4 linked regions of the Diceros bicornis minor genome follow. The protein of the gene in region 4 binds, or shares a complex with, the protein of the main gene of each other region. Links are inferred from orthologs where the notes say so. Each region holds a gene or a part of one and is shown on either strand. Other genes may lie near its edges. The genes, in order: CETN3, CETN2, NUP98 and NUP214.

Region 1 (6,866 bases), on a different chromosome or scaffold from region 4:
TCACCTTACCTGAATGGGAAGAGCTCAGCTGGAAGCAAGCAGTTAGCAAATGAGAAAAGTAGGTGGTAGTAAAAGTGTGGAGAGCATTCAATAAAAATCAAAGGAATCTGAACTTCATGCAGTGTACAATGAGGAGCCACTAATGGTTTATCAGCAATGAACAATCTATTAAAAGAATTTTAGAATAATCAATCTAATGGAAGTGTACAGGGTGAACTAGAAATGGAGAAACCATTTAGGAAGCTCCAGGTATGAATTAAGATCCCAAACCAAGATAGTAACAATGGCAACAAATGGATGAGGCATAAAGGTAGAATTGAGCAAAGCTGGGTAACTAAAAAAAAAATAGTGGAAAAAGAGAGTTAAAACGCTACTAAAATGCTACCTTTCTCATTATGCTGAGTGTGAGATCCATACTACTCCAAACACCAATTTCCCCTTGTATCTTTATAAATAATTCTAGCCCTTAAAGTTGACATTTTTCCCCATTAGCATTGTGTCAACATCAAACATCACTTATGTTGTTTGCACCAGAGAAAGTAGGTTGAGACTGTGTTACTAACATGTTCAAATTAAAAGACAACACTCCTCCAATCTGAGAAAAGAATGAGTCACCAAAAAAAAAAAACCCAGTGGGAAGAATATAATAAGAACTGATTAAATCCTACAGTTTTGAAATCTTTTAATTACGTGAATGAAAAATAAGTCCCTCCATAGGAATGTATTTTTACATTTAAAATACTACTCACTTTACCATGTGAAAAGGAGTTTCTAAAAAAATGTTAGGAGTACTATTCAATTTTATTATAGCACTTAACTGTGAATGTTTAAAATGGTTTCATATTTCCAAAAAGTTTAGTTGCTAAAATACTTATTTAGAAATGTATTTTTAACCAAGTCAAAAATGCAAATCATTTCAACAGAAAAAAAAATTTTTAAGTATACTATTACCTTTAATTCATGATAATCTATTGCTTCATCTTTGTCTGTGTCAAATAGTTCAAAAGCATCTTTAATTTCTTGTTTCTGCTCCTCAGAGAGTTCTCTTCTTTTTTTCCTCTTTGTTTTGTCTACTACAAGCTCACTTCTATGAAATGAAACAAAAAGTTTTAGTTCACTTTAATCCTATTCTCCTATGCCTCTAAATGATTAAAATAAGATTCCAAAAATGGAACACAAAAATTAGCCAACGAATAATTTTCTAAATTTCTAAAAAGAAGGTATTTTGAAGAAAGATAAATTTCCCTTACATGAGTCAAAGCCCTGCTCATTCCATAGTCTAAGCTATTATAAATCGGCACTTCCCAAAACTGAAAAGTGTTACAGGTTATTAAAAGAAATGAGGACCAAATCCTTCCTCCTAGCTTTGTGTTTATTCCCACGGTGGAACAAACAAAAACTGTGAATAAGAAACATTACTTTTATGTCAGAAACCCCAACAAAAAACAAAGCACCCACACTTATTAGTCACATCATTCTACGATATAAAGTGTTAAAAAAAAGAAAGTAAAATTCCTAATTGACCATCACTATATATTTGGTTTACTTTTGATAGTTTATCATTAAGTTATCAAAACTGCTACACAAAAACATATAATTTACCAACTAACTTACAAAGTGTTTTGGCACTGTAAGTTAAAAATGTTTTTCTATTACATGTTTCTAATAGTTTGGCATTTTATAATTTCTTCCGTTGATATTAACGAATCAGCCAAAATACTGAGTCTAAAAATATCACGATTAAACACCAAAAAAAGTAATACTATTTGGGCTAATTCCATATAATTACGTGAAGAATCAATGGTCTTTTTAAATCTCTCTTAACATGTAAACTTAATTTCTCACGAACTCTGGAAAAACTTGAAAAGGAAATTTATTTTAAAAGCCAGAAATGTCTTCCTTAAGAGATGCCGATCTAAGTGTTCCAAATTTTCAAATGGGGCTGCAACACTTGTAATTGAGAACAAATTTTGAAACAGAAGAATTCTGTAAAACGATAAAACGTAAAACCCAGTTACTTTTATTAGAACACCTTCTCTATTTGCATTTGAAGTTGTTTTGTTCTCCGAAATCTACAAAAAAACACAGGCAAGAGATGGCTAGAACTGGACCAGGAGCATGACAAAGCTGAGGAAGATCTTTCTTCACACAAGCTTGGACATTCCCGGGGTCATTCTCTTCCCAGGATTCCGGAAGGCCAAGTCCACAACAGACCCACAAGTGACCCCATCCAAGAGGACAACGATTATCCCTTGGCAGAACACGGCACCGTTTTAGAGTGGCGTTAACTACATAGATATTTTTAAGGTAAAATGTCTAGATGGGGCTGGGGAAGGGGCAAGAGAGGGTGAGAGGCTGGAACAGAATGAAAGGTAAAGAAACTCAGGAAATAAGGAACTCTACGACATTACCAATTAAAGTCACTAAAATGGGTCTCCGGTTATACCGTAAAGCAGAGCCCCGAGAGAAGAGCAAGGAGGCCTTTTATCTTACTTCCAAAACTTAAAGGTATGTATGTGAGCAGTACTGCAGCTGAGGTTAAGGCTGCAGACCAGGAGCGAGGAACTGAACGAATGGATGCTCCATGGCCTGATTTCTCGCAGAAACACCGCGAGATGAAACCTCGCGATATTTCACTTCCTCCTTGCTACTAAAACCACTCGTCCTTTTGGCGGTCCAAAGCACAGTGCTGCCAGACATGACTATGCACGGGGCTCATCACCTGCGGGACACCAGGGGCTCCAGGGTGGGGAGTCCGGGCCCGGGAAGGTTGGCCGAGGCTCCTTTCCCTCATCCCAAACTGCATCCCCCTTCCTCTCGCCTCGGCTCCAAACTGCCTCCCTTCTACACACACCCGCCCTGGGGCCCGCTGCGGGGTGGGGAGAGCATTGCCGCCTCCTCATTACCGACCTCAGAGTTAAACTCATTTTCTCTTCGGACAGAGACGTTTCTCTCAAGAACGACTTTAAACCCCTACCCAAGGCAGCACGACTTCCACAACCCGTTCAACAGACACCAACGACCTCGGCGGCCTCAAGGACCTCCCACGAGCTAGTCACTTCTGAGCTGGATTGGTTGAAATTGCTAATGTCCTGCCCATTAAGGCGGAGGCGGCACTAGGCCTCTGCTCTCATTGGGCGTCTTCCGCGTCAATCAACGAAACCTCTCTGCCGGCCTCTCCCGCTGCTCCTCCCGCCTCCTGGATTGGCCTGTTGAGTTTTCCCCGAATCCTTTGCGGAGCCGAGATCTGAGTGTCTGAGTCCCAGCGTTGCGGTTCGGGTGGCGGGTGGCTGCACCTCGCCTCACCCCAGGAGGGTTGCGGCCTGTGGGCGACGTTCCGGAGACACGACGGACGGCTCCGAGGGAAGGAGAGGGAGGGAAGAGAAGAAACACGCCGGAGGCCATCCTCCCGCTAGTAGGAGGGAGTAGCAAACTTCGAGGTCTGCGAAATTGGCTCCAGTGTTCTAAAACCTGGACGGCCGATGGCCTAAGGACACAGAGAGTTTGTTTAAAACGCAGATTTAAATGTCCCTTTCCCCCAATCTGATTCTAGTACGTGTGAATCTGCATCTTTTTTCCTTACAACCTGTCGAGTGATTCTGAGGCCGGTGCTGTGGATTATTTTTGGATAATAACTGAGTTGGATTATTAGGCTATTTACGGTGAAGCTGTACCTACACCGCCCTTGGCTCTGCTCTTCCTCCTTTTAACGGATTTGTTCGCTTATGTCCCTTATTTTCCAGTGCTGTAAATTGCACGAATATAACACTGCCAAACCAAGTCTCTTGAAGCTCCCTTGAGCATTGAATGTGTTTACTTGTTCATGTCTTGTACTAGACTGAATTTCTTCAAGGCCAGGACTCCGTCATGCGTTTAACGTTATTCCTAGTGCCTAATACAATGTCTGATGCATAGATGCTCAGTAAATATTTGTTGCATTGAATGGAATGTTGCTGTGAAAACTCAGAAAGTACTGACCTGAGCTGCAAATCTCATAAAGGAATAAAATAGCCTGAAGGTGGGAGTCGAGCAGAGGAAGGGGGAAGATATATAAACACTGATATATCTATAGAGAGATATGTATACAGGTTTAGAGAAAAGAGAACACAGCAGGGCAGAAGAAAGGCTTCCTGAAGGAGACGGTGTATATGTTAGACCTAAAGGATAAGCTAAATTTGGACTAGTAATGGTAGTATGATGGACTAAAGCTAAAAATTAATAGTTACAGCATAGCCGCCGCCCCCCAAAAAAAAACAAGAGTAGAAAGGGTAGTCTCGTAATCTAAAAATAAGCTGGTTCCTGACAATACCAATAAAACTGACAGATGTATGGAAGTGTAACAAAGGGAATATTGCCACTAATAAGGTTGGTAATTTAAAAGAGAGGTTTAAAAATTATTAAAATACTTTATCTGACTTCATGCTGCCAATAAATATTAATATCAAAATGACATAGTCACTTCAAGGAAAACAGATAAGGACTCAAAAAAGACAGAAAACTGAATTATGTCAATAACTGTAGATAGGACTGGAAAAATGATGCCCAAGTTCTGTACCAAGAGATAAAAAGGCATCCAGCCCACTCAGATTTATGGGTGAGTTTTAAAAATTCTTGAAGAGCTAATTCTTATGCTTTAAACTCAAAGCATGATGGGGAGAGCTTCTTAGCTTAATGTTTGAAACTAGCACAACCCTTATCATCCTAAACAGCATTTCAAGTCGCTGAATGTATGCTCCATGATGAGACTGTGTGCCTATCGCTCACCATTGTATGTGCCTCCCTCGTGTTTTATGTTCATTAGTGAACATATGTGCAAAAATCGTGGACGTTGGCAAAATCAATTTGGTATTATCTTCAAGGAACATTTCACTATAACCAAATAGAATTTATTTTAAAAATGCAAAGATAGTTCACAATATAAATCTGTATTAATTAATTATAATTCTAGGTTAAAGAGATCATCTCAATGTCCAAAAAGGCACTGAAAATATTCAACACCCATTCCTAATAAAATATATATTAATAAACTAGATATAAAAGGTACTTTTTTTTAACTTGAGCAACAGACTTAAAATGCTAGTGTTTCTCAAACCTAGTCCCTGAAACACTAGAATTTTGTGCTTTGTTTGTGGTAATTTCATGAAGAATGGGTGGGCAAATATTTGTGGGCAAATAATTTGGGAAGATAGATTTTTAAATGTTAAATTAAAATGTTTTCAACAGGATATCCTGTTGTAGGAATGACAGGGAAGTCACATGCATCACTTCTGCTCGTATTTTATTAGTGAGAATTAGTGACATGTCCACTCCTTTCCACCAGGGAGGCTGGGAAAAGAAATCTCTAACTGGAAAACTGTGTGCCCTGCTAAAACTTGGGGTCAGATCGTCTATTACTAAAGATAAGATGGGATTAGCAGCTCTGCTACAGACACCTTTAAAGCAGTTATCAACACTATCTTTGAAACTCTAATCAATGCTGTAATAAAACAGGAAAAGAAAGTGATATATAAAATTAACATCATGTGTGGATGAAATGATTACCTGGAAAAATCCAAGAGTATCACAGTATTGGAATTGATAAAAGAATTCAGTAAAGTAGCTGATGATCAGAGAAATTTGCAAAATCAATAAGCATTTGCAAAATAAAAGAATAATAACAATACGAAATTCCTTCAAATAAATTTAACGGGAAACCTGTAGGTAGAAAATCACAAAATTTTACTAAAGGACATGAAATTTGAATAAATTGAAAAAGAAGCTCTACTTCTAGATGGGAAGATTCAGTACTGTAAAAATGTTAATTATGTCCTAGATTAATCTGTAAATTTAGTATAATCAAAATAAAAATGCTCACATTTTTTTCTCGAATTTAACAAAATTATTCTAAAGATTGTCTTAAGAATAATTGCATAAAAATAACTTAAAAATTGTGAAAAAGAATAATAATACAAAAATTGCTCTACAGGATATCAAAATGTATTTGTTACTATGGTAATCAGAATAGTAAGTCCAGAGCCAAAGCCAAAAGTAGTTAAAACTTCTGGTTTAAGAAGGTAGTAGCATTAGTAATTGTTTAGTCTTCCTCCTGAAACCTTAATAAAACAATAGTTGAGAAATTAGTTTCTAATACTGAAGTGACCTAGAGAGGTACCACCAGCAGACAAAGTATTTCAAAAAATATCTGAAAGACCAAAAGAGATATATTGACATATTTTTTGATCAAAAGAGCTTGTTGACAAATGAGATCATCAAAATGGCATCTCAGGATTTGTAGGGGGTGACTAAAGCTTCAGAAAGAGTTGATCTACCTCTCAGAGTCCCAAGAGAGACTCTAGGTGTAGAGTTGTGTGGTACAGTCGAGGATGGAAGTGAGAAGAGGGCTAAATACAAAATGTCAATTCAAAAGCTCTTTAGGAGGGGCCGGCCCTGTGGCTGAGTGGTTAAAGTTCCATGTGCTCCTCTTTGGCAGCCAGGTTCGCAGGTTTGGATCCTGGGCGCTGGGGCACGGACCTACACCACTTGTCAAGCCATGCTTTGGCAGTGATCCATCTACAAAATAGAGGAAGATTGGCACAGATGTTAGCTCAGGGCTAATCTTCCTCAAGCAAAAAAGAGGAAGATTGGCAATGGATGTTAGCTCAGGGCAAATCTTCCTCAGCAAAAAAAAAAAAAAAAAAAAAAAAAAACTCTTTGGGAGACCACTGCACTTCAATTCTTCCAGATTCCCCTCACCAGTATTCTCTCTCTCCATGTTTATCTTGAACCCCACTCTTAAAAATGAATGAAGAATCAAAAACCATTAGAGATATGAAGAAAATCAACAGAATGAAAAATAAAACAAAGGAAAACAACTATCTAGGAAGACT
Region 2 (7,331 bases), on a different chromosome or scaffold from region 4:
CAGCAGTAGTACTTTTACTACTTTACAAAGGGTAAAATGACTTTTCTTGTGACTTTGTGGCCTTGAAGAAAGCTAAGTAGAACCGAAGCATCCTAATTTTCAGTTACAAATACTATCCTTTATCAGCTGAACTCTCCAGTTTGTATTAACTTTTCTTCAGTGAAGACACTTACATGATTCAAATGTATGCAGCATTATGGGTGGAAAATATGCTGATTATTTTAGCTAACTTACCATTTTCTGAGTCATCACAGTCAAAAAGTCACTAAAGTTCATTTTTCCTGTCCCTTCCTTATCAATTTCGCTGATCATTTTCTTGATCTCCTCTTTCTTGGGTTCAAATCCCAGTGCCCTCATTGCCACCTACAACGAAAACAGGATCATCTCAATAAGCACATCTAAACCTAGAGGGACAAAAAATGACAGCATTGAGACTATTGAGCCAGCATCAGACACAATCATGTTAAAATGATTAGGAAACACTATAACATTAAGCAAATCGATATTTGTGCTCAATTTTATTTAATAATACTTGAAGTAAGTAAAAACAGGAAAACAGAGCACAGTGCATCCTCCCCTGTTATTTTTTGGAGGGAGAAGAGGGCAAAAGGGGTAGAGCGGAAAGAAGATAAAGAGGCAGAGGAAAGGCAAGGCAGCAGAGCAGGAATGCACAGGGCTTGCCTTAAGTTCCTTAACATCTATAGTCCCAGTTCCATCAGCATCGAAGAGATCAAAAGCTTCTCGGATTTCCTGTTTCTGCTCTTCAGTAAGCTCTGGCTTAGGACTCATCCTTTTTCGCTGGGCAGTTGATGCCATGTTTGCCTTCTTAAAGCTGGAGGCCTTCAGACATTTTACAAACACATAAGCACAATATTATGCAATTTAGTCCATACTTTACATAAAAGTTACAGACAACCATATCTATTTTAAAAATAGTTTATACCAACCAATTCCAAAGCTTTGCTTAGCAGAAGAGATAATAGAGTTTACTGGAAAGAATAATGAGTCTTTCCATGCACCTCTATCCCTCTCTCTTCTTTACTATGGTTTCCAAGAATTGTTCTTTTGGATATCTCTTGTTGAAAATCACCCCCAAAGAGAGCTAGCCAAGGAGCTGACTGTGGATAACTGTACAGATGATCAGCTCTCCTTGAATTGGGGGATCCTAATTATAGAAACGTCCTTACAACACCCACTTGCGGTACTCCAGTTCCCTCTAAGTACTTTCTGATTACTTCCAGATTTGGCCAAATATTACTAAGTTAAGATGTATAGCCTGTCAATATCGAATAATAAAACTCAATCCACTCGGTACATTTGTGCCTTCTCCAAGAAGCTCAAAGCGTCTCGCAAATGTCCCTATATTTACATTGTAAAATGCACGTTAACAATCAAACATAATAAACCTCCCCCCAGCTCTGTGCGGAAACTTTGGTAGAGCGAGGCGGCCAGGAGGCCAGCGTCTGAGAAGCGTTGAGACCTGCGGGGAATCCGAGTCTTCTTTGCCCACTGACGGTCACCGAGGGGGCCGGGGAAGGCCAGGGGAGCCCAAGAGGCGGGTTGAGGCCGGCTGTGGGTGAAGGGGAGGCAGCGGCGAATCACAGGCCCAGCAGGGCGCCGGGCGTCTCTACCCTACTCTTCCGGGAAAGAGTTCAGAGGAAGGAGGGCCGCGCCAAAGCCAAGAACGGCGCAGCAAAGGCAGCGGGGCCAGGCCGAGGCCTAGGAAGGGCTCAGCCTCTGCCCGCCAGGCGCGACAGGGCTGCCGGCACTCACCATCTCCGACCGACTCCGCTGCCTGTTGTTACGGCAACCGACGTACACACTGACTCGGCGCCGATCCCACTGTCCCGCGCGCGCGGCCCCCGCTCCCCATTGGCGCAGGGCTGGAGTGGGTGGGGCTAACCCGACAAAGGCCAGGGCCGGGGCGGGGGGCGGTGCGCTCGCGGCCAAGACCTGGCCTCATTGGGCAGGATCATGCCGCGAGCGCCGATTGGCTGAGCCTGCTCCAAGCCGAGCCAATCCCCTTAGTGGAGGAGGCTCGGCTGATCCTCAGCTCATGCGGCAGAGCGAAAAGGGTGGTCGCCGGCGGCTGGAGGTGTGTGGGTGCTGTCTGCGGGCGTGCTGTCTGAGGCCGGCCAGGAGGGCGCCTTCGGACAAGTAAGGGTTGCCACCTCGCTCTTGGAGGCTGCCTTGAGTCGGCGACAGGGCGGGAGGGCCAGGGGCTGGGTGGACGATCCGGGTCGGGTGCTTTCTGGTCCGGCCTAAGAATTAGGGTCAGAGGGGCCAGAGAAGACCCTGACCTTGGGTGTTGGAGTGGAAACTGTACTGACGGAGCAACTGAGATCCAGAGAAGGAAAGGGGCAGGCCGAGCATTGTCGCAGAGGTTCAGACGGCTGGGACTTAGAAGCTGAATCCAGCAGAGGATCTTTGAGGGTGTCTCTTCGAAAGCAGCCCTGTCCCCCAGACCAGATTCCAAGAGAGGATCACTTTAGTTCTCACCTGGCTAAAAGCAGCCCAGGCAGGTGAGCTGGGAGCGGGGAACGGACTTTGAAGAGAGTGAAGGAAATATGAGCGAGCATGAGGGGGAGAAGTCATCAAGATATACTCTTTTTGACACCCAAACACTCAAGGCGGATAGGGAGGAGCATTCCAGGTCGAGACACCCTGAGGAGTTTTGGAAGTGTGAGGCGTGCTTGGAGAACTACAAGGGGGCATGTGCAAGGGTGTGGCTGAAATGGAGCTGCAGCAGTGGAGCTGGAGGTCCAGGGTTGCCCTCCTCAGCCAGCGCAGTGTAGGAGCGCTCCGTGGCTCTCAGCCCTTACCTGCATCTCCTCTGGGCATTGGGGCAGCATTTAGGGAGGCAGGGGACAGAGCATAAGTTTCTCAGGCTGAGAAAAGCCTGAGATTTATTAGTGTCCGTTAAATTAAAGTGTTCACTGACCTTCTGCCCTTTGCCCTCTTCCCCTTTGAGCATGAACCAGGTCGAAAACCTTTTGGTCATATTTGACTCTTTCTTTTCCTGTCCCGTCCCCATTAACCAGCCTCCAAGTTCTATCAGTTCTCCCCCTCGAATGCCATTTCTTTTCTCTTTTCCACCTCTGTGGCTCCTCTTCCAATTCAGGCCTTCAGCAGCAGCCTCCCACCTAGCAGAAGCCAGAGTTCTCACCATGGTCTGCAAGGTTTGGCATGACTCCCTCCACCCCCACTCCTCCTCTGGCTCGCTATGGCCCCGGGACACTTCCTTGCTGGCCTCAAATGCACAGGCTCCTTCCTACCTTAGAACTTTTGCTCTTACTGTTCCTTCTGCCTACTGGTTCACTTCTTTCCCTCCCCCAGGTCTTTGCTCAACTGTCACCTTCTCAGTGAGCCACCCTAAGCACCCTATTTAGCACTGCAGCCCCCAGTACCCCCAAGCCCTGCACCTTGCTCTACTCTTTTCCCATAGTATGTATCACCTTCTAACCTACTGTGTATTTTACTTCTTTATTTTGTTCTTTATTACCCATCCACTAGGAGGTGAGCTCCAGGAGAGCAGGCAGCTCTGTTTTGTTCATGGCTGGCCCTCCAGTACCTGGAGTAGGGAGGGGCACATGGTGGGTGCTTGGTAAATCTCTGCTGAGCAACTGGCAAGTAGGCCCCCTGTTTCCTGCTTCTCACAGCTCTGCTGAGGTCACCCCCATGCTCTGAAACCTTCAGAGGCTTCCCGTGACTGCAGAATAAAGTCCACACTCAGCCTGGCATCTGAGCCTTCTACCCAGTTTTGCCCCTCCTAGTCCTTCTAACATCATGTCCCTTCACACCCTACTTCCCAGTCAGTCTGCGGGGTGGCATCCTGCCAGAGTAGAAGGAACAACCACAAATTCTGCCTTGACCGTGTACCAGCTGTGTGACTTTGGGAAAGTCACTGGACGTCTCTTGTTTGAGCCCTACAGCGGCTGTGAGGTCAGCAGGAAGGATTGCTGCTCTACAGATGAGGCCTCTTAGGCCAGCTGCAGCAGCACAATTCAACCTGTACTCCGTTCCAGGCTCTTTGCTGGCCCTCACAGCCTAGTGAGCCAAGACAGACGTGGAAAAAAAGTATAAACCAGCGTGCTAAGTGTCAGAATGGGAGCAGAAATGAGTGCTAAGGAGGCAGCTAACCTTGCCTGGGGAGGGGGACGAGGTCTCACAGAGGTGACAGTTGAGCTAGGCCTTGAAGGATGAGGAGAAACTCACCATGGAGAGGAGGGGAAGATATTCCAGGCAGAGGGAACAGCATTAGCTAAAGCTCGCAGGATGCTGATGAGTTTCTCAGTGGCCAGCACAAATTCAAAGCCAGGGCCTTTCTGTGTCCTAAAAGTAAACAGACAAGCAGAGAGGCCCACAGGTCCATGAAAAGACAAGGTTGAGCTGATTGAGTCCTGGGGGAAGTGCGTTTTGTCTTAAGTCCTCTTTGCATTTTTCTTGCACAGGCAGATGTTGTCTGTCCATGGACTAAAGTGATGAGCTTGCAGTAGCCACATTTTAGCTTCCCGCACTGACTCCATGGAAGGCAGCAGGCAGGGCCCCAGCTACCCCAACACACCCCTCTGAATTGCTCTGCATTTCCATTTACAAAGAGGCTGATCTCCCATGTTTTTGAAGAAGAGAACACTTGAGTGTCTCTCTCTATATATATCTGGTTTGAAATGGACAGACTATCCCTTCCTTTTGTCTCCAGGACTCAGTGGCAGGGAACTTTCCCCAGCAGGAAGGAGGAGTTGGGCTCACTCACTTCTCTATTCATCGAATCCTATCAGCAGCCCTCTTCCCCTTGCCCAGAAGTTGAGCGAGGCACTTGGATTTCACCATTAGAATGTGGGTCTCTTTTCCTAGGTCATTTTTAGCCTAAGACTTTGTCCCAGTGTGTATAGAGGGCGTACATACTGGTTTCTAATGGATTCAAAGACCTACTGTTTTAAAGGAAAAAGACTTGAGGCTTCCGATGTGTGAACCTTAACGATCCCAGCCCCTAGAACATGCTCTTTGAGGTCTTATTTTCCCATTCAGAGCTATGTGTGTATGTGTGGTAAAATAGACAGAACTGAAAATTGACCATCTGAACCATTTGTAGGTATACAGTTCAGGGGCGTCAAGTACAATTACATTGCTGTGCATCCATCCCCAAAACTCTTTCATCTTGTAGAACTGAAACTCTATACCTGCTAAACACTAACTCCTCCTCCCTCTCCCCCAGCCCCTGGGACCCACCATCCTACATTCTGTCTCTCAGTTGACTACTCTAGGGACCTCATACAAGTGAAATCATACAGTATCTGTCCTTTCATGACTGGCTTCTTCCACTTAGCATAATGTCCCCAAGGTTCTTATTTCACTAAACATAATGTCCTTGAGGTTCATCCATGCTGTTGCATATTGCAGAATTCCCTTCTTTTTTGAGGCTGAATAGTATTCTATTATATGTATATACCACATTTGCTTTTTTTTTACTTTTTATTATTTTATTGAGGTCACATTGGTTTATAACATTGTGTACATCATTATATTTCAGCTTCTGTATAGATTGCATCGTGTTCACCACCAAGTCTGATCTCCATCTGTCACCCATACATTTATGTCCCTTTACCCTTTTCACCCTCCCCCCACCACCTTACCCTCTGGTAACCACCAATCTATTCTCCTTATCTATGTGTTTGTTTATCTTCCATGTATGAATGAAATCATACAGTGTTTGACCTTCTCCATCTGACTTATTTTGCTTAGCATAATATCCTCAAGGTCTATCTATGTTGTCACAAATGGTATGATTTCATCTTTTTTATGGCTAAGTAGTATTCCATTGTGTGTGTGTGTGTGTGTGTGTGTGTGTGTGTGTGTGTATACCACATCTTATCCATTCATCCGTCGATGGACACTTGGGTTGCTTCCACCTTTTGGCTTCTGTGAATAGTGCTGCCGTGAACATGGGTGTAAAAATATCTGTTCAAATCCTTGCTTTCAATTTTGGGGGATATTGTTTGGTGGATTGTTTGATCCTATGATTATTCTATATTTAATTTTTTGAGGGACCACCGTACTGTTTCCCACAGCAGCTGCACCATTCTACATTCCCACCAGCAGTGAACAAGGGTTCCAGTTTCTCTATATCCTTGTCAACACTTGTTATTTTCTATTTTCTGGGTTTTTTTGATAATAGCCATCCTAATGGGTATGAAGTGATATCTCATTGTGGTTTTGATTTACATTTCCCTAATGATTAGTGATGTTAAGCATCTTTTCATGTGCTCGTTGGCCATGTGTAAAGTATATATTTTTTGGAGAAATGTCTATTCAATCAGAGCTCTTCTTGATGTGCATTTTATCCCTACCGTGTAGCACATGGGGGATTTAGGTTGAGGGGTGCCAGTGGGATCTGCCTTATTCCTTAGAGATGGCTAAGTATCACCAAAATTCTTATCTGGCTTATAGTATTTACAAACTTTACTACAATGTGTGTATAACTCGAGATAAAGCAGATTTGATTTTGTTCTTACAAGAGGCTGCTTTGCTGAGGATCGCGTGAGCATTGTTTGAACAGTATGGATCCACAGGGGCAGGATGGGTTCTTCTTTCACCTCCCGGATCATCCCCGAGAGACTGCGGAGAGCAGGCTTTAAGGCTTCTTGCTTTTCTACTAGTACAGGGGGGCTATGGAAGTGGCAGCTGTGCTATTTGGAGTTCAGGACTGCAAAGAAAACTTGTGTTGATTTCATGTGACTGCTGTAACAAATGACCACAAACTTGGTAGCTAAAAACAACAGAAACTTATCCTCTTACAGTTCTGGAGACCAGAAGTCTGAAGTCAGGGTGTCCTTGGCTTGTGACTGCATCACTCCAAATGCTGTCTGCCCTCTCATTTCATCATGCTTCCCTGAGTATCTGGAGAAATTGAGTGAGAAGCCGGCAGTGGGTATTCATGAATGTAGCATCTTAGGCAGGCGTCTGTGTGTATGTGGTGGAGAGCAGAAGGGAGTCTGCCTGGCATGTGCACACGCCATGTACTCATGGGGCCAGTGGAGATGTGGGTGCTCAGTTTGTGCCAGGCACTGTGTTCATGATGAGATACAGTGGTGAACAAGGCAGACAGAACTGCTAGCGCACTCTGTTTGCTGGACCTCGGTGCAAGTGCCGAAATTCTTGTTCCCCAGCTGGTACACACTGAGCCCAGTGAGTCAGAGCTCACCAGTCACATCTGTTTAGGGTGAACAGATGACAGGGCCCCCTGTCAACACAAGGAGGATTATGGGATAGAGAGAGGGAGGGGATAGGCATAGAACTCCAGGTCAACTTTGCTTATTCATTATATGCATTCT
Region 3 (7,588 bases), on a different chromosome or scaffold from region 4:
TATGATTTCACTGAAATAGTGGGAGTGTTTCCTCTACAGCAGTGGTCTCAATCACGGGGAATTTTGCCTCCCAGGGGACATCTGATAATGTCTGGAGACATTCTTGATTGTTACAACTTGGGGGGCGGAGGGGTGGCTACGGTATCTAAATCCAGGGAGAGGCCAGGAATACTGCTATACATCCTACAATACAGAAGACAACTCCCCTACAATAAAGAATTATCTGGCCCAAAATGTCACTAGTGCTGAGGCTGAGAGACCCTACTCTAGAGACATACTGTACCAAATACTCAGGTTCAATTCCAAACGCAAAGAATACACCAAATTCTCAAGAAACACTGTTTATACACCTTGCCTCTAATACCTACTGTTAAATCTCTAAATTTCTTAGTCCTCTAACCTTTCAACAAATTGCATAATTTATTTATTTATTTATTTTTTGTGAGGAAGATCAGCCCTGAGCTAACATCCAAGCCAATCCTCCTCTTTTTGCTGAGGAAGACCGGCTCTGAGCTAACATCTATTGCCAATCCTCCTCCTTTTTTTTTTCCCCAAAGCCCCAGTAGATAGTTGTACGTCATAGTTGCACATCCTTCTAGTTGCTGTATGTGGGACGCGGCCTCAGCATGGCCGGAGAAGCGGTGCGTCGGTGTGCGCCCAGGATCCAAACCCCGGCCGCCAGTAGTGGAGCACGTGCACTTAACTGCGAAGCCACAGGGCCGGCCCAACAAATTGCATAATTACGAATGTGCTCTTTATTGGAAATTAAATATCAGAACTACTACTCCTTACTTCCTACGTTTATTGCCAGCATAAAAGTAATATCACAATAAAATAACATAACTGACTTTATTCATGTCCACTAGCATCTAGATATCTAAGAGCAAGCAGAACTTTTAGGAAACCAAATTCACAGCTTGAAAAAAGTCATGTACCAAAGTACCACATAATATACAAACGGTATGGGTCCTCTATCTGGGCCCCATATTCAAGAGCACACAAATACCCAGATTCTTTATTGACTATTTTTAGGTTTAACTTCTCCATATTTGTTTATTCGTTCACGCAAACACACTTACTGAGAGCCTACCATGTGCCAAGTAACCTGAATACAAAGATAAGACAAAAATATTTTACCACAGTCTAATAAAAAGACAAACAGCTAAAATACAAAATGATTTGTACTATAAATAGATGTATCAAATAAGTGTTATGGAAGCTTGCAGGGGAGAGAATGCCAGGAAAGGCTTCCCAGAAGAGGGTGATGCTTGAACTGAGAAAATGTCACAGTAAATATACCCTGTTCACCTCTTAGTATTTAGACTCCAGTTCTCTTCTGTTCTTATACACTACTGTTTTTCAGTTTTTGCTTTTCATCTAAACAGACCAAAGCAACGATCTGACTGATGTGAACGCACCAAAGTGGCAACTAATTCAATTTCACCAAACCTTAATGAAGAGTCAAAAAATAATTCTATCAAAGTATTCCCCAGTACCTCCATCCTGTCCAAATTCCAGTTTTATTTTTTAAATATCCTAACTTCTGCCACTAAGTAAACATACCCTCTGTTACTCAGCTAACAAAAGTTTCTCTCTGAATTTATGTAACTGTCACAGGGAATGATCACTGCTCTTTCTTTCTTCCAGTTAGTTTCTTCTTCCAAAATGGAGTTTAATTTTCTCACCTTATTCTACTACAATACTTAGAATTCTGTACCAGAGAGGAGCCATGAGTTCCAAGGTACAATAACTACAAAACTGCTGCCTACCTTTATGTGTCTTGTCTATACTTCCCGCTTTCTACTTCAGTACTGTTGTGCGTCAGGAACTGGACTGTCTCTTCTGAGTCCCCAGCAGCTGACACAAATAAAAATTTCAGATTTGGAACAGCAAACTAGCCCATGACATGTAGTCTTATCGACTCGTTTCTAATATATAACATCACCGATAATTCTTTAACCAACATTAAACCTAAAAGTACCTAAACCTAACCTCATGCTCTAGGTTAGAGTACCACTAATGAAGCTTCCGTCTTACCATGAATAGAGCTGGTAGCAACTAAATCTCAAACGCTACTGAAGAAGCTACGTCTGCTTCTAACTACCAAATGCCCCCGCTGCCCCACCCAACTCCCCAAAGGGAATCCTCAGTAAGGGAAGGCTGGAACACTTAGGGAGAGTGGTGTAGTAGAAAACCGTCTAGACTGAGTCAGATCTGGCATTGGCTAATCTTGTCCCTTCTCTAGGCCTCGGTTTCTCCATCTATAAAACTTGCACGTGATGTAGGGTAGGCGGATCGGCTTCACTCCTAAAGTCCTCATGGCTATAGTAATCCAGAAACCCCATCTAGCTTTACATGGAACACGTGGCAGAACAGCAGATAACCTTTTACTCCACTAAACCGACCTTAATTCTCAGATACTGTTTTAAAAAGCTAACAAACTCCCGGCCCACTTACCCTAACCCTCGGGCTGCAAATTTCCCCTGTGGAGAGACCAACGCCAATAAAGGCCATCCCGCACGACCGTCAAGAAGTGCCGGGGGGCCCGTATTCAGGGTCGTCAGGCGCTGCCCCTCACAGGGCCGGCCCACCTAATCACTGCCGGACAAATGAATGAGTACAACCACAGAGAGGGACGCTCCCTCAGCGCAGGCTGCACCAGGAGACTCCCGGGCCCAGACCCCACAGATAACCCATTCCCTCCCAGCGACCGAAGAGCCGGGCCTCGGGGCCGCCGAGTCGCAGGGCCCGCCCCCTCCCTCAGGGCAGAAGGTGCGCGCCGGGCGCGAGACTTCCGCGCGGAGAGGGCCTGGGACGCCCCGCGCACCCGCCCGCCCTGAGGGGAGGAGGAGCCTGCCGGTCCCCGGCCGCCACCGCCCGGGCTCCCGACTTACCGCGGTGCGGCGCGGGATGGGAAGCTCAGGAGTGAGGGCCTAGGCCCGTCCGCCACCCGCCGCTCAGACAGCAGCGCGCGGCCGCCACGAAACCGTCGCAGTCGCCGCCTCCGCCGCCACCGACAGCGACCGCCGCTTCGGGCGCAGCGCGCAGAGGGCCCGACTGCGTCACACGCCGCCCGCCGTCAGAGGCTCGCTCCGGGCGCTCCGCCCCCGCTGTCTGCGCATTGGCAGACGCCGCCGCCACTCTAGGCCCGCCCTGTCACTCATTGGGCAACGAGTCTTTTGAAAGCGAACGTGGGGCCGGTCTTCGGGAGAAGGGGAGAGGAGGAAGAGGAGGGACCCCAGGAGTTAGGGGAGGAAAGGGGAGGGGCGGTGGGAGGCATGGAGTCCCGCCCCTCGCCGCCGCGGTTGGCTGGGAGGGAGTCGTGGCGTCACACAGGGCCCTTCGAAGTGGGTTAGTGAGTGGCTACGTTGGGGTGCACCGGCCTGGGTGTGGGAGAAGAATGGTGACGCTATGCCGAGGCTCCGCCCCCTTCCCTGGACCTGAGAGACACGGGCTGCTGAAGCTGGGGCCAATCAGAGGAAAGGCTCCAGGATGGCCTGGTAACTATTCTACTCTTTCCTGGCCCCAGTCCGCAGGCGGTGATGGGAAGGCTTCCCCATCCTCCCGCCAGCACTTCCTGGCCACACCGCCTGCGAAGCTGGAGGGCCCTCCTGGGAGGTCCGTCTGTCCGAGTAGTTTGTCTGCAGCTGCTCCGAGGCTTTAACCCCTGGCCTCCTTGTCTCCTGACCCATAGCAGCCCCAGCACAACCTTTCCCTCTCTGAATGCCTGGAATAGACGTTAAGAGCCTTAGCGATGCCCTAGGGAATGGCTCAGCATAGGGCTTGGTACAAATGAGGATTCTTGGATTTTCTTTCCTACCTGCACTTTAGGAACTCCTGCTTATTCTTAAAGGCCTGGTTCAAATGTTCCCTTCCTGGCTGGGATGCATTTGCCGATCTCTCCCAGCTTGTTGGGCTAATGCTTGGGCAGGCCTCTGTTACAGCCTTGTTACTTTGTATCCTATTATTTACTTTCCTGTCTTCTGTGCCCGGGATCTTGAAGGTCAGAGCTGCATTTTCTACATCTTGGTGTTCCTTTCCTCTGGGGCCTAGCTCAGAGCAGAAGCGGAATATTACAAGGGGAGAAGGTCGAGCGTGTTCTGGAAACTAGACCTAGTGACTGAGGGTCCCACACAGAATAGCAGGGAGTGTGCTCAGAAAGCAAAGCCTATTCGGATTACCGCTCCACCGCTACCACCTCCTCCTGGGACATCAATACAAAATTGAAATGGGCTCTGCCCAAAACGTAGGTGAACTTAAATCCTTCCAAGTTTTCCGGGGTGGCAATGGATTAGAGATAGTTTGTCAAAAAGTGGAATGGTCTTAAAGATAAAATAAGATAATGGGGCCGGGCTGTGGCTTAGCAGTTAAGTGCAGGCGCTCCGCTACTGGCGGCCCGGGTTGGGATCCCGGGGGCGCACCAACGCACCGCTTCTCCCGCCATGCTGAGGCCGTGTCCCACATACAGCAACTAGAAGGATGTGCAACTATGACATACAACTATCTACTGGGGCTTTAGGGGGGAGAAAAGGAGAAAGATTGGCAATAGATGTTAGCTCAGAGCCGGTCTTCCTCAGCAAAAAAGAGGATTAGCATGGATGTTAGCTCAGGGCTGATCTTCCTCACAAAAAATAAATAAATAAATAAGATAATGGATAGGAGAAACCTGGTACATTGTAGATGCTCAGTAGATGCTTGAAGGAAGAAAGAAATAAATACATGAATAGTCAAGTAGTAAAGCTAGTTTAAATATATGACTCCAGACACCTTCCCCCAACTCCTCCAACTAAACATCTCTCTTTTCCCTCCACCCTCCTTTGTTTGTGCTCTGCATCAGAAAGTCATTAGTCTCTCTGGAGAGTTACAGTAGCTTCCTCACTGCCCTCCTGAACTTTTGATTTCTCACCTTCCAATCCTCAAACCCAATTATGTTTAAACCTCTCGTCTATTTATTCTGGTGCTTCTAAGGCCAGGCACACAGTATAGGTGCACGTTAAATGTTTGACACATGAATGAGTGAATTAATTTCTTAAGTAGAATAATAATAGATGTGTGGGACTTTTGAGTCAGAGAACCTTGGGTTTAAATCTGAGCCCAAACATGTATTAGCTGTATGAACTTGGGAAAATTGCTTACTACTTCGGAACCTTAGTTTCCTTGTCTGTAAAATGGGGATAACAACTATACTTGCATCACAGAGTTGTTGTGAGACTTAAATGAGATCAAGCACTTAGCATGGTACGTGGTACCCAGTAAGCCCTCAATAAATAATAGATATGATTTGTATTCTTTAAAAATGTCAAGGAATTCCCTTGCTAAATATTGTGAGACATGGATTCTGACACAGAAAAGGGGCTCAGAAACATGTCTTGAGTGAGGAAGTGAGTACATTCAGTCCAAAGTACTAGTGGGTGTGCAGGAGCTGGGATGCTTAAATAGTGCATACTTGTTAGAAGACTGGAGGGGGAGACATTAGACAAGGAGTGCTCCAGCGAGGAATTTCCTGTGACCATGGTGATTTCTAAGTAGAAGGACCTCTTGTTAGGTACTCTGGTAAGCATGTGGCCCACAAGCTCATCATTCCCAGGGACTTCTGCCCCAGGAAGGACTTCTGTGCGGGCCAGGGCTTCCTGGGCCCACATACTCTTAATCTGCCTGATTCTCATAATACTCCTTTTGGTTATCATCATCTTCCTTCTTCCCCTCTAAAGACAAGGAGTTTGGTGCGTGTTCACAAACACTTGCTGAGCCAAACTCTGTCCTGGGCATCAGGAGCCCAGAGATGTCCACAGCTCAGTGCTCTGCCCTGGCCAAGAGAGACAGAGCTAAGTAAAGTCCATCTCTGTCCTGGGAGCCCTCAGTCTCTCACCATATGCCCTGAGAACTCACTCTATGCAGTTATGAAGGATTAGTGCTCAGGGAGGAGAGAGACCTGTAAGGACTGCAGAATCATAGAAGGTCAAGAGACTTCCTTCCAGATTGATGGTGCTAGATTTCTTATATGGTGCATTGGAAAGAGCAGCAGAGTTGGAGTCAAAGAGAGCTGAGTTCAAGTCCTCATTCTGCTTACCTTTTAGACCTTGCACAAATTATATTTAGTTGTTCTGTGCCCCAGTTTCCTTGTCTATAAAATGGGCACAATAATTCCTATTTTGGGGGCTGGCCCGGTGGCACAGCAGTTAGGTGTACACGCTCTGCTTTGGTGGCCCAGGGTTCGCAGGTTCGGATCCCGGGTGTGCACTGATGTGCCGCTTGTTAAGCCATGCTGTGGCGGCATCCCAGAGGAAGATGGGCACAGATGTTAGCCCAAAGCCAATCTTCCTCAGCAAAAAAAAAAGAGGAGGATTGGCATCAGATGTTAGCTCAGGGCTGATCTTCCTCACACACACACACAAAATAATAATTCCTATTTTGTAAAGTAGTTGTGAAGGTCAAAGAAGATAATGGAATTTGCAAAGGACTGGGCACATGTTTGGCACATGGTAAGCACTCAGTAAATATTGATTTCCTTCCTCTTTTTGTATAACTTGATAAGGGAAGGTGATGTTTATAAATAGCATACAATTAGATTTTTGTAAATCTTGTGTGAATACCTTTGACTTTTTATTAGAGCATTTAGTCCATTGCATTTAATGAATTTACTGATATATTCAGGATTTTATCTAACATTTTATACTTTCTATGTGTCCTATTTGTTCAGTTTCTATTTCTCTCCTTTATCATCTTTTTTGTAATAATAACTGCCATTTATTGAGGCCCAGCTCTTTGCCAGATTTTTTTAAAATTGAGATATAATTCACATAATATAACATTGACCTATTTAAAATATACAATTCAGGGCCAGCCGTGGTGGCCCTTAAGTTCGAACTTAAGTTCAGTGTGCTCTGCTTCGGCAGCCTGGGTTCGGTTCCCGCGCGTGGACCTACACCACTTGTCAGTGACCATGCCATGGCAGCGGCTCACATACAAAAAGAGGAAGATTGGTAACAGATGTTAGCTCAGGGCGAATCTTCCTCAGCAAAAAAAAAAGAAAGAAAGAAAAGAAAATATACAATTCGGAGGTTTTTAGTATAATCACAATGTTGTGCAACCATCACCACTGTCTAATTCCAGAACATTTTCATAACCCAAGACCCATTAGCAGTCATTCTCCATCTCCCCCTTTCCCCAGCCCCTGGCAATTACTAATCTACTTTCTCTCTCAATGGATTTGCTTATTCTGGACATTTCATATATTTCATATAAATGGAATCATATAATATGTGACCTTTGTGTCTGACTTCTTTCACTTAGCATAATGTTTTCTTTTTTTTTTTTAAGATTTTATTTATTTATTTATTTTCCCCCAAAGCCCCAGTAGATAGTTGTATATCATAGCTGCACATCCTTCTAGTTGCTGTATGTGGGGCGCGGCCTCAGCATGGCCGGAGAAGTGGTGCATCGGTGCGTGCCCGGGATCCAAACCCGGGCCGCCAGCAGCAGAGCGCGCACATTTAACCGCTAAGCCACGGGACTGGCCCAGCATAATGTTTTCAAGGTTCATCCATGTTGCAGCATGCATCAGTACTTCATTCCTTTTTCTGGTAGA
Region 4 (7,376 bases):
CGACCTGGGGAAACTAACTGTGGCTGCTGCCCTTGTTGAAAACAGTGTCCTGTACCCATATTTTTGCAACAATGGTCTAAAGAGTACACATTCCCATTTGTTTGGATGGGACTGTTGTGTTAATTAAAAAGCCATGCAACAAAATCCTTCTCCTAGAGAGCCAGAACCCAACTTCAACTGAGCGAAAACAAAAGCATGGCAGAATGGTAAATTCTTCTTCCCCCTGAGCTCAGAGGAACAACTCATTGAAAGAGAAATACAAAGGACCAAAGAGAACACCCTGAAAGGCTTCCAGCATCCTACCTGGAACTTATTCTCCTTGGGGGTCAACCTTAGGACTAACAGCAGTTTTAATTTTAATACTGGAATGATTTTCTTGGGAAGGAAACTACATTCACACTTCACCACACTCCTCTCTCTACTACCGACACAAAGCAAGTAACTTACCTATCTTATTGGGATCGTCTCCAGGTTTATTTTGAATAAGGAGATTTTTAGTAGGAAAAATCTGCAACCCACTGGCTCCACCAGCAAAGACCAGACCGTATTTGTTGGACACAGCAAGCAGACTTGAGCGTTCTTTGGGCAACTCCTCAGGGGAATCAAAGATTCTCACCTTCTTCAGTGCTCTAAACTGAAAATCCTGTTGTGAGAGATCAAAACAAGACCAATTTAGGGAAAACAGGAAATTAAATGTCTGTCATTATATTCCAGTAGACCCAATTCCAGTACAACAAAAAGATATACTACCCTGAGGCCAAAGACTGTGTGGCTCAATCATTTTTAAGTTTCCTATGCATAGTGTGGTGCCTGGCACACTGCTTGTTAGTATTTATTGAATGAAATAAAACTTTCAAAATTCTTTCATGAAGCCTTCCTTGACTAATCCAGCTCACACTGATCTTTTCTGAATTCCTAGTTAACTTATTGTCCTAAACCACCACACAAGCTGCACTTTATTATTTATAATCTTGTCCTATTTCATGGTATGCATTGCTCAGGACCCAGAGTAATGCTTAACAAACTGTTGTTAAATACTGAAAGCATTCTCCAACTCTGCTGTAAGCTGGAACTTCCAGTGCAGCCCTCAATAAATATATATATGGAAATAATGACCACAGAAAGAACCAGATCCCAAGAATGGGCTTACCTGCACCAAATGATAAAAAAATCCATCACAGAAAAGGATATGTATGGTCAATGTCTTGGTGTTCAAGTCCTATAAACATACCTAGATGCTAAAAGACATCTAAACACAAGTCCAAGACCCTTCAGGCAGGCTATAAGGCCAGGAAGGGGCTGACCCATCCACCTACAGAGCCTCACCTCACAACACCGCTTCCCTCCCACAAGTGTGCCATCACCTCTGCCACACCCACTGTCACACCTCCAACCCCCACCCACTATCAGTTTTCATTTCCTTCCATTTTCAAGGGCCTCAGGGCCTGGGAGCCTTCCCCGATCTGTCAATGCCTGACTCACCTAGTCTTCCATGAACTTACCTATATGCTTTCAAAGACAATTTTCAGTGTGTACCACCTCCCGGTAACAGAGTTCCCTAGGTTTACCAATCACTATGTTAAGTTGTACTATATACAGTTTTTTTCCTTCAATTCCAAACCTATCTTCAAGTCAAAGTTTTGGTGAAAAAAATGTGAATCCCCTTTTGCTTACATTCCAAAACTGTAAAAGCCAAAGAGAGTTTTTCTCAGCCTCCATTTTTGTACTTATGGCGCTTCATACAGGACCCCTAACATACCCCACATACTAATTTCCTTGGATTCGATGTTGAATACATATTTGCTAAAAGATTAAAGGAAATACCCTTCTTAACTCCACCTGAGTACGGTGATCAGAAATTCACACCACTTTCCAGGTGAGACCATACTGTGGTTTCATACAGTAGAATAAAATTTTCAGTCTTTGTCATTCTCATCCTGATCATCCCAAATTTCCTATTTGGGTCATAGTCACACGGGCATAGGGAGCCAGTGGGACGAAGAGGTACAGCAGAGCTCTCCTTTCTGTTATAATCAGTAACTCAAAGGCAGACTATCATCCTCAAAGGCTGTGGTTTTAAAACCTTTTTTTCCTTCCACCTCGGCATCTCTGAGGAAAACGCCACACTCTCACTGGGTGGCTCACCCACAGTGATTCTCAAGAACGAAGAGAGAAGCACTACTCTAAATACGGTATGGATTACCACCCAAAACACATTTCAGTGATTTCTTGTTCAAACGCCTAAAATCTTCCTGCAATTCACTCCCTTTCAGGTGTTTATAACCATCATTTGGATCACCTGACCCTCTTTTTTGGCTGATTCCCAGCACCAGAACAGTCCTCCTATTCCACTTAACCAAAGGTTTTGTAGGACAGGTGACGAACCCCAGCTCTGTGTTAGGCAAGCCTGGCCCACCTTACAGAGGTGGTACCGTGCGAGTGAAGAAGAGAGGCTCTTAAACAAGACATCCCTGGATTTCAGCCGCCTTGTCAAATGTGACTTTGAGTAAGCTGCTTTCCGAGCCCCATTTGCTCCTCTACATTAACGACTACTTCGCGGCGTTGCTGTGATGATCACCACACGGTAATCACAGTGCCTGGCACACAGTAATCGCTCAACACACGGTAGTTATCGCCACGCCTCCGACCACCACGTGACAGGAGCCAGGGTAACTCGAGTGGCGCGCACAAGAGCAGCAAGGGGCGGGGAAACTGCGTTCGGGGGGGCTTCCACGCCGGCGGCGGGGCAGAGTGCTCCGGGGCGCGCCGGTGACAACTCGGAACGCGGCAACTGTTCAAGCCGGAGGCGGGGCAGAACCCGCGCTTCGCCGTTCAGCGCGGCTCCAAGGCAACGCCGCGACTAAGCAAGGGAGGGAGGCCCCGGCCAGTCTCTGACCTTCATCTCCCGCTCGGGGATCATGGCATCCATCTCGTCTCCCATCGTGCCGCCCTCAGCTGGTCGAAGCAGCCGCCGCTGCCGCCCGCGGCCTTGCCCACACAGCCCAGACCGCCCCGAGGCCAACTTCCTTTCCTCGGCGTTAGCGGCGCGCAGCGAACGCCACATTTCCGGCGCGCTGTGCTGACGTCACGCGCTTCCGTCCGCCGCGTGGTGGAGGGAGGCTGGGGGCCCGTCTGAAGTCGCGCGCAATCCTGGCCGCCGCCTCCCATTGGCCGGCTCGGCCGAGTAGGGCCCGTGGCCCCAGGGCCCATGCTCGCGCCCGGGAGAGTCCACGTGCCGCCCCCGCGTTCGCGCTCAGCGCGGGCTCGCCTCGAGTTGGTTTCATTCATTGGGCAGCGGGCGCCCGCGCGAGCGCTCCGTTTGTTCGCTGGAGACTTCACAGTAACCCCGGGGTGTAGGTGGTTAATAGTTCCCGCTACTTCACAGATATTTCCAGGGGCGGCTCTTGAGAGAGGTTTGGAGGGGGGTGTGGAGGAAAAGAGGTTCAGAAAGGTGGCGGGGTGGGACCTCTCCACGTGTCTAAGCACGAAGGCTGAAAGGGGAGGTTAAAAGGCACCAAAGGTCAGCCTTGTTTACTCCTTTCAAGGTTATCATTTACAGGGCAAGACCCTGGAAACCGCAGAACACTTCAGATGTGTTATGTAATCTTCAAGACATCCTAGTCACCTAGGGGCATCATTGCCGTTTAATTGATGAAGTAACTGGAAGCCCAGAGAAGTTAAGAAAATTCCCCAGTGCCCCTTAGTCAGAAAGTAGCAGAGGCAGCCTGAGAATTCAGCTTCTCTGGATCTGCTGGTTGATGACTATTAGACAGTCCTACGTAGAGGTTTTTGTAGTGGAATTATATTATAAATGCTCTAGGACAAAGATTCTTAACTTGGAGCCGGTGAGTCAGCTCCATGCTCTGCCACTTACTGTTTGGTTGTCAGCAAACTGCTCATCTGCTCCAAGCCTGCTTCTCATTTATAAAACAAGGATGACATAGTAGAACCTGGCTCATGGGGTTGTTGTGAGGAGTAAATGAAGCTCAGCATTTAAGAGAGCCTAGCACACAGGACACATTCATTCGGTCTGTTACTATATTACATAGCTTTTCTGAATTTGCTGAGCCCCAAACCATCCCCAAAATACACCAATGAAGACATTGATAAGTTTGTCTGTTTTATTTCCAGTCTGTAGACACGATATCCGGCACCATACACACTCACACACACACACATACCGCATCCACCTGAACTTGCCCGACACACTCCTTCCTTTTGAGTTGCAGGGACAAAGCCATACTTGGCAGCCCCCAAGTTGCTGGTTACATTAGTTAGATTTGGTCTTTCAGAAAGAAGACAGCTGAAGTTCTAAGAAGCTGAGCCCTTAGCCAGAGAACAGTCCTAGAGCCAATAGCCACAACCTGAAATACATGCAGACCCCCTTTCCAGGGACCGCTCTTGAGATTCACTCCCTCCAGGGGTTGAGTTCCGAGAAATGGTGAAGGGAACTGATAAGGTTTCCCAGGACACCCCCCATCCAATGAGAGAACTCTCTTTCCTGCCCTTTCCAGAAGCTGGGGACACACTCACTTGCTCTCCTCCCTTAAGGAGGCTTCCTGCAGTCTTGTAAAGTGTGGAACCTGCTGAAATAAGCCTGGTTGGTTCTGCCCTCCTCTCTGAGTGAGGAACAGTCCTAGACTATGATGGGTAGTCAAGGAAGGCTTTACCTTGCTCAAAGGTCTCTGAGAGGAGAGGCAGTGGGAAGGGGTGGGGACAGGCAGTTGCTCATGTAAGGATCTCAGGCGAAAAAACAAAAACCACCAAGGGAGGGCAGGAGGTGGGGTGAAATTTTACATTTAGAGGAAGGAATGTTTTGCTGGGGTTTAAACTTCAGCTGGGCCTGTGCATTTGAAGCAGCTCCTTAGGCTGAAGATCAGCCAGTCATGGCCAAATAATCTTGCTCCTGAACTGGTTTAGACCAGCAGATTAACCCAACCTGGCCATTTCCCCATCCCCTACCGGCTCCATACCCTCAAGCTGCTGTAAGGGCCGCTCCTTGGGCCCTTGATTATGGGTCACTAAGGAGCTGCAGGGAGCCCACACTAGCTCCAACCTCCAACAGTCCCCAGACCTTTCCACTTAAGGTTTTGCGAAGGCTTCTCCAAGACTCTTGCCCAGTCTGGGGCCTAGCTAGGTACCCCCAGGATTGCAGTGCAGTCACCTCATATCCCCCTCTTTCCTAACCTTCATCTCACTCATTATCGTCTGGGTGTGACTTCCCCACAAGACTCTAAATTCCAGGAGTCTATTTCCCTACTGGGTTCTTAGCTCTTGACCCATAGCAGGTGCTTAATAAATATGTTCAATGGATGAGTGCATCTCTGAGCCAGTAGGGTAAGGGGCTCCAGAACACAGGTGGGGTCAAGGCTGGGGTTCCTGCTCAGCCAAGATGGGGCCGAGAGTGACACCTTCCTGCATGAGTTCTGAGAAGCAGCTTGGCCGAGAAGCTCTAGGGAAGGCAGGACTGCAAAGGCAGGCCTGGTCCTTACCCAAACCCTGATGCTGACTCGGGGGCACCGGGAAGGGGGAGTCCTGGCCTGGGCCTTCCTCAAGTGTTGACCTAGGAGCATGCCCCTCCCTGCCCCTTCCCTTGTTTTCATCCCTGACTGAGACAGCCCAGGGCAGAGATGAAGCATGGGCAGGGCATCTGCACACGTGGGCTTCAGTCCAGACTCTTCCAGCTCCAGATTAACCCCTGACCTTGCGCAAGGCACTTAATCCCTGTGGACCACGACAGTTTTCTCGCCTGTGAAATGAGAGGACTGGCTCAGATAACTTACAGGGTGGATCCGGGCTCTGAAACCCTGTGAGTCCATAATAAAGGACACAGGTGACCCCAATCCAATCCCCAAGCTCAAGGTTTTAGGCAATTTGGAAACGGAGAGATGAGTAAGCGAGACAGTGGACACAGCACATGGCAGGACAAAGTAGGGGGACTTAAAGCTTATAATAGGTTGTCAATAAATATCTGTTGAATGACTGAGTGAATGAATGAATGAATGAATGGTGTGAGTAAGGTGGAAAGGCAAATGGGGGAAGTGCAGTCAGGTTTCAAGCAGATTTGAATGAGAAAGGCAACCTCCTATTTCTCAGCTCTTGGCTTAACAGTGGGGTTGACTCTTTTTGCCATGAGCATTTTAATCCTCATTCTCCTATGCTGATATCTCCTATCTCCCTATCTCCTATGCTGAGGATGCCCTCAGCATCCTCCCTAAAAGGTAGGACTATAAAAGGTAGGACTAGATGAGCTGACCCCCTCAAGGCCCCTGGCCTCCCCTCTACCTCCAAAGCCCTTTGCTGCCCCAGCAAGGGACGGCAGGCTGCACCCTCCCTCTGAGCTGCCTGTAAAGGTGTGGCCAGGGGGCAAGCCAGAGGATTCCTTCCTGAACCTTCTTGAAGGACTCAAGTTGCCAAGCCCCTCTCTTTGTCTCCTTATGTCACCTCACTGAGGATGAGAAGAAGTGTGGACTGAGGGGGGATCAGGTGGGGCAGTGGGACACTGAGTGGCCACGTCCTGGACAACACAAGAGCACTGGAACAACAAAGCTGTCCAAGGAAACCCTAAGGAGGCTACCCCAGGGTCTCCTATAAGTGGGCTGAGGTCCTCACCCAGGCCAGGGCAGCTAGCCTGGACTTAGCTCAGAGACGTCCTGGAAGGATGGACGGTGCCAGCTTCAAGCGTGGGGATCACAGGCTTCCAGTCTCCCTGTCCTAGCCCTGCCCCTCCGGTTTTTGGTTTGATGTCAAGCCCTTCTGCACAGGGAGAAGGGACGGATGGGAGAAGAGAGGGAGGGGACCCAAGACTCAGGATTCCCCACCCAGAGCCCCCTTAAGGCAGATAATTTGTGCTTTACAAAAAGATCACTGATTCTGCCAATGAAACAAACAAACAAACGCACAAGGACCAAACAAAACAAATAAGACAAATCACAATGAGTCGAGAGGGCAGCGAGATCAGGAGGAGGAACAGGGGCAGGGAGGGCGGGGCAGGTCCAGGCAGGGGTCCTCAGGGCAGGCTGGCAATGTCTCTCTCTGGAGGGGGGCCGACTGGCTTGGGGCTGCTCTCATTGGCTTTCCCTTCAAACATCATGACTCTGGTTTGGAGATGGAGAAAAAACAAAACAAAACAGGATTAAGACCCCTTCCCTCATCCAAGAAAAGATCATCCCAGCCCTCACATCAGCAGGGTTCTCAACAGAATGCCCTTGCATCCATCCTTAAGTGGAATCTTCTCGGAAGCCCATGAAGGCAGCAATGTGGAAGGGGCTGCTAGTCCCACTTTACAGAGGAGAAAACTGAGACGCAGAGTGGCAATGTGACTCCTCAGAGCCACACAGGCAGTCCAAGGCAGGAGGGGACTCCAGATCATTGAC

The links.
Region 1: NUP214 (region 4) and CETN3 share a complex: the UniProt entries of both Homo sapiens proteins name them as parts of the nuclear pore complex. The link is inferred for Diceros bicornis minor from reciprocal best matches to the Homo sapiens genes NUP214 and CETN3.
Region 2: NUP214 (region 4) and CETN2 share a complex: the UniProt entries of both Homo sapiens proteins name them as parts of the nuclear pore complex. The link is inferred for Diceros bicornis minor from reciprocal best matches to the Homo sapiens genes NUP214 and CETN2.
Region 3: NUP214 (region 4) and NUP98 share a complex: the UniProt entries of both Homo sapiens proteins name them as parts of the nuclear pore complex. The link is inferred for Diceros bicornis minor from reciprocal best matches to the Homo sapiens genes NUP214 and NUP98.

What each region holds. Positions count from the first base shown.
Region 1 is NC_080740.1:16,898,044-16,904,909, forward strand, and holds the start of CETN3 (centrin-3), read right to left. Parts: upstream 3,019-6,866; 5' UTR 2,928-3,018; coding exon 2,911-2,927; intron 1,088-2,910; coding exon 952-1,087; intron 1-951. UniProt on the Homo sapiens protein: Plays a fundamental role in microtubule-organizing center structure and function. As a component of the TREX-2 complex, involved in the export of mRNAs to the cytoplasm through the nuclear pores.
Region 2 is NC_080781.1:136,968,449-136,975,779, forward strand, and holds the start of CETN2 (centrin-2), read right to left. Parts: upstream 3,002-7,331; coding exon 2,942-3,001; intron 2,523-2,941; exon of another isoform or gene 2,257-2,522; intron 2,158-2,256; exon of another isoform or gene 2,062-2,157; intron 1,954-2,061; coding exon 1,774-1,953; intron 841-1,773; coding exon 682-840; intron 364-681; coding exon 235-363; intron 1-234. UniProt on the Homo sapiens protein: Plays a fundamental role in microtubule organizing center structure and function. Required for centriole duplication and correct spindle formation. Has a role in regulating cytokinesis and genome stability via cooperation with CALM1 and CCP110.
Region 3 is NC_080746.1:58,890,366-58,897,953, forward strand, and holds the start of NUP98 (nuclear pore complex protein Nup98-Nup96), read right to left. Parts: upstream 3,017-7,588; 5' UTR 2,895-3,016; intron 2,704-2,894; exon of another isoform or gene 2,458-2,703; intron 1,858-2,457; exon of another isoform or gene 1,770-1,857; intron 1-1,769. UniProt on the Homo sapiens protein: Plays a role in the nuclear pore complex (NPC) assembly and/or maintenance. NUP98 and NUP96 are involved in the bidirectional transport across the NPC. May anchor NUP153 and TPR to the NPC.
Region 4 is NC_080767.1:38,433,100-38,440,475, reverse strand, and holds the start of NUP214 (nuclear pore complex protein Nup214), read right to left. Parts: upstream 3,021-7,376; 5' UTR 2,942-3,020; coding exon 2,897-2,941; intron 644-2,896; coding exon 448-643; intron 1-447. Other genes in the region: AIF1L (allograft inflammatory factor 1-like), read right to left, coding at 7,010-7,097. UniProt on the Homo sapiens protein: Part of the nuclear pore complex. Has a critical role in nucleocytoplasmic transport.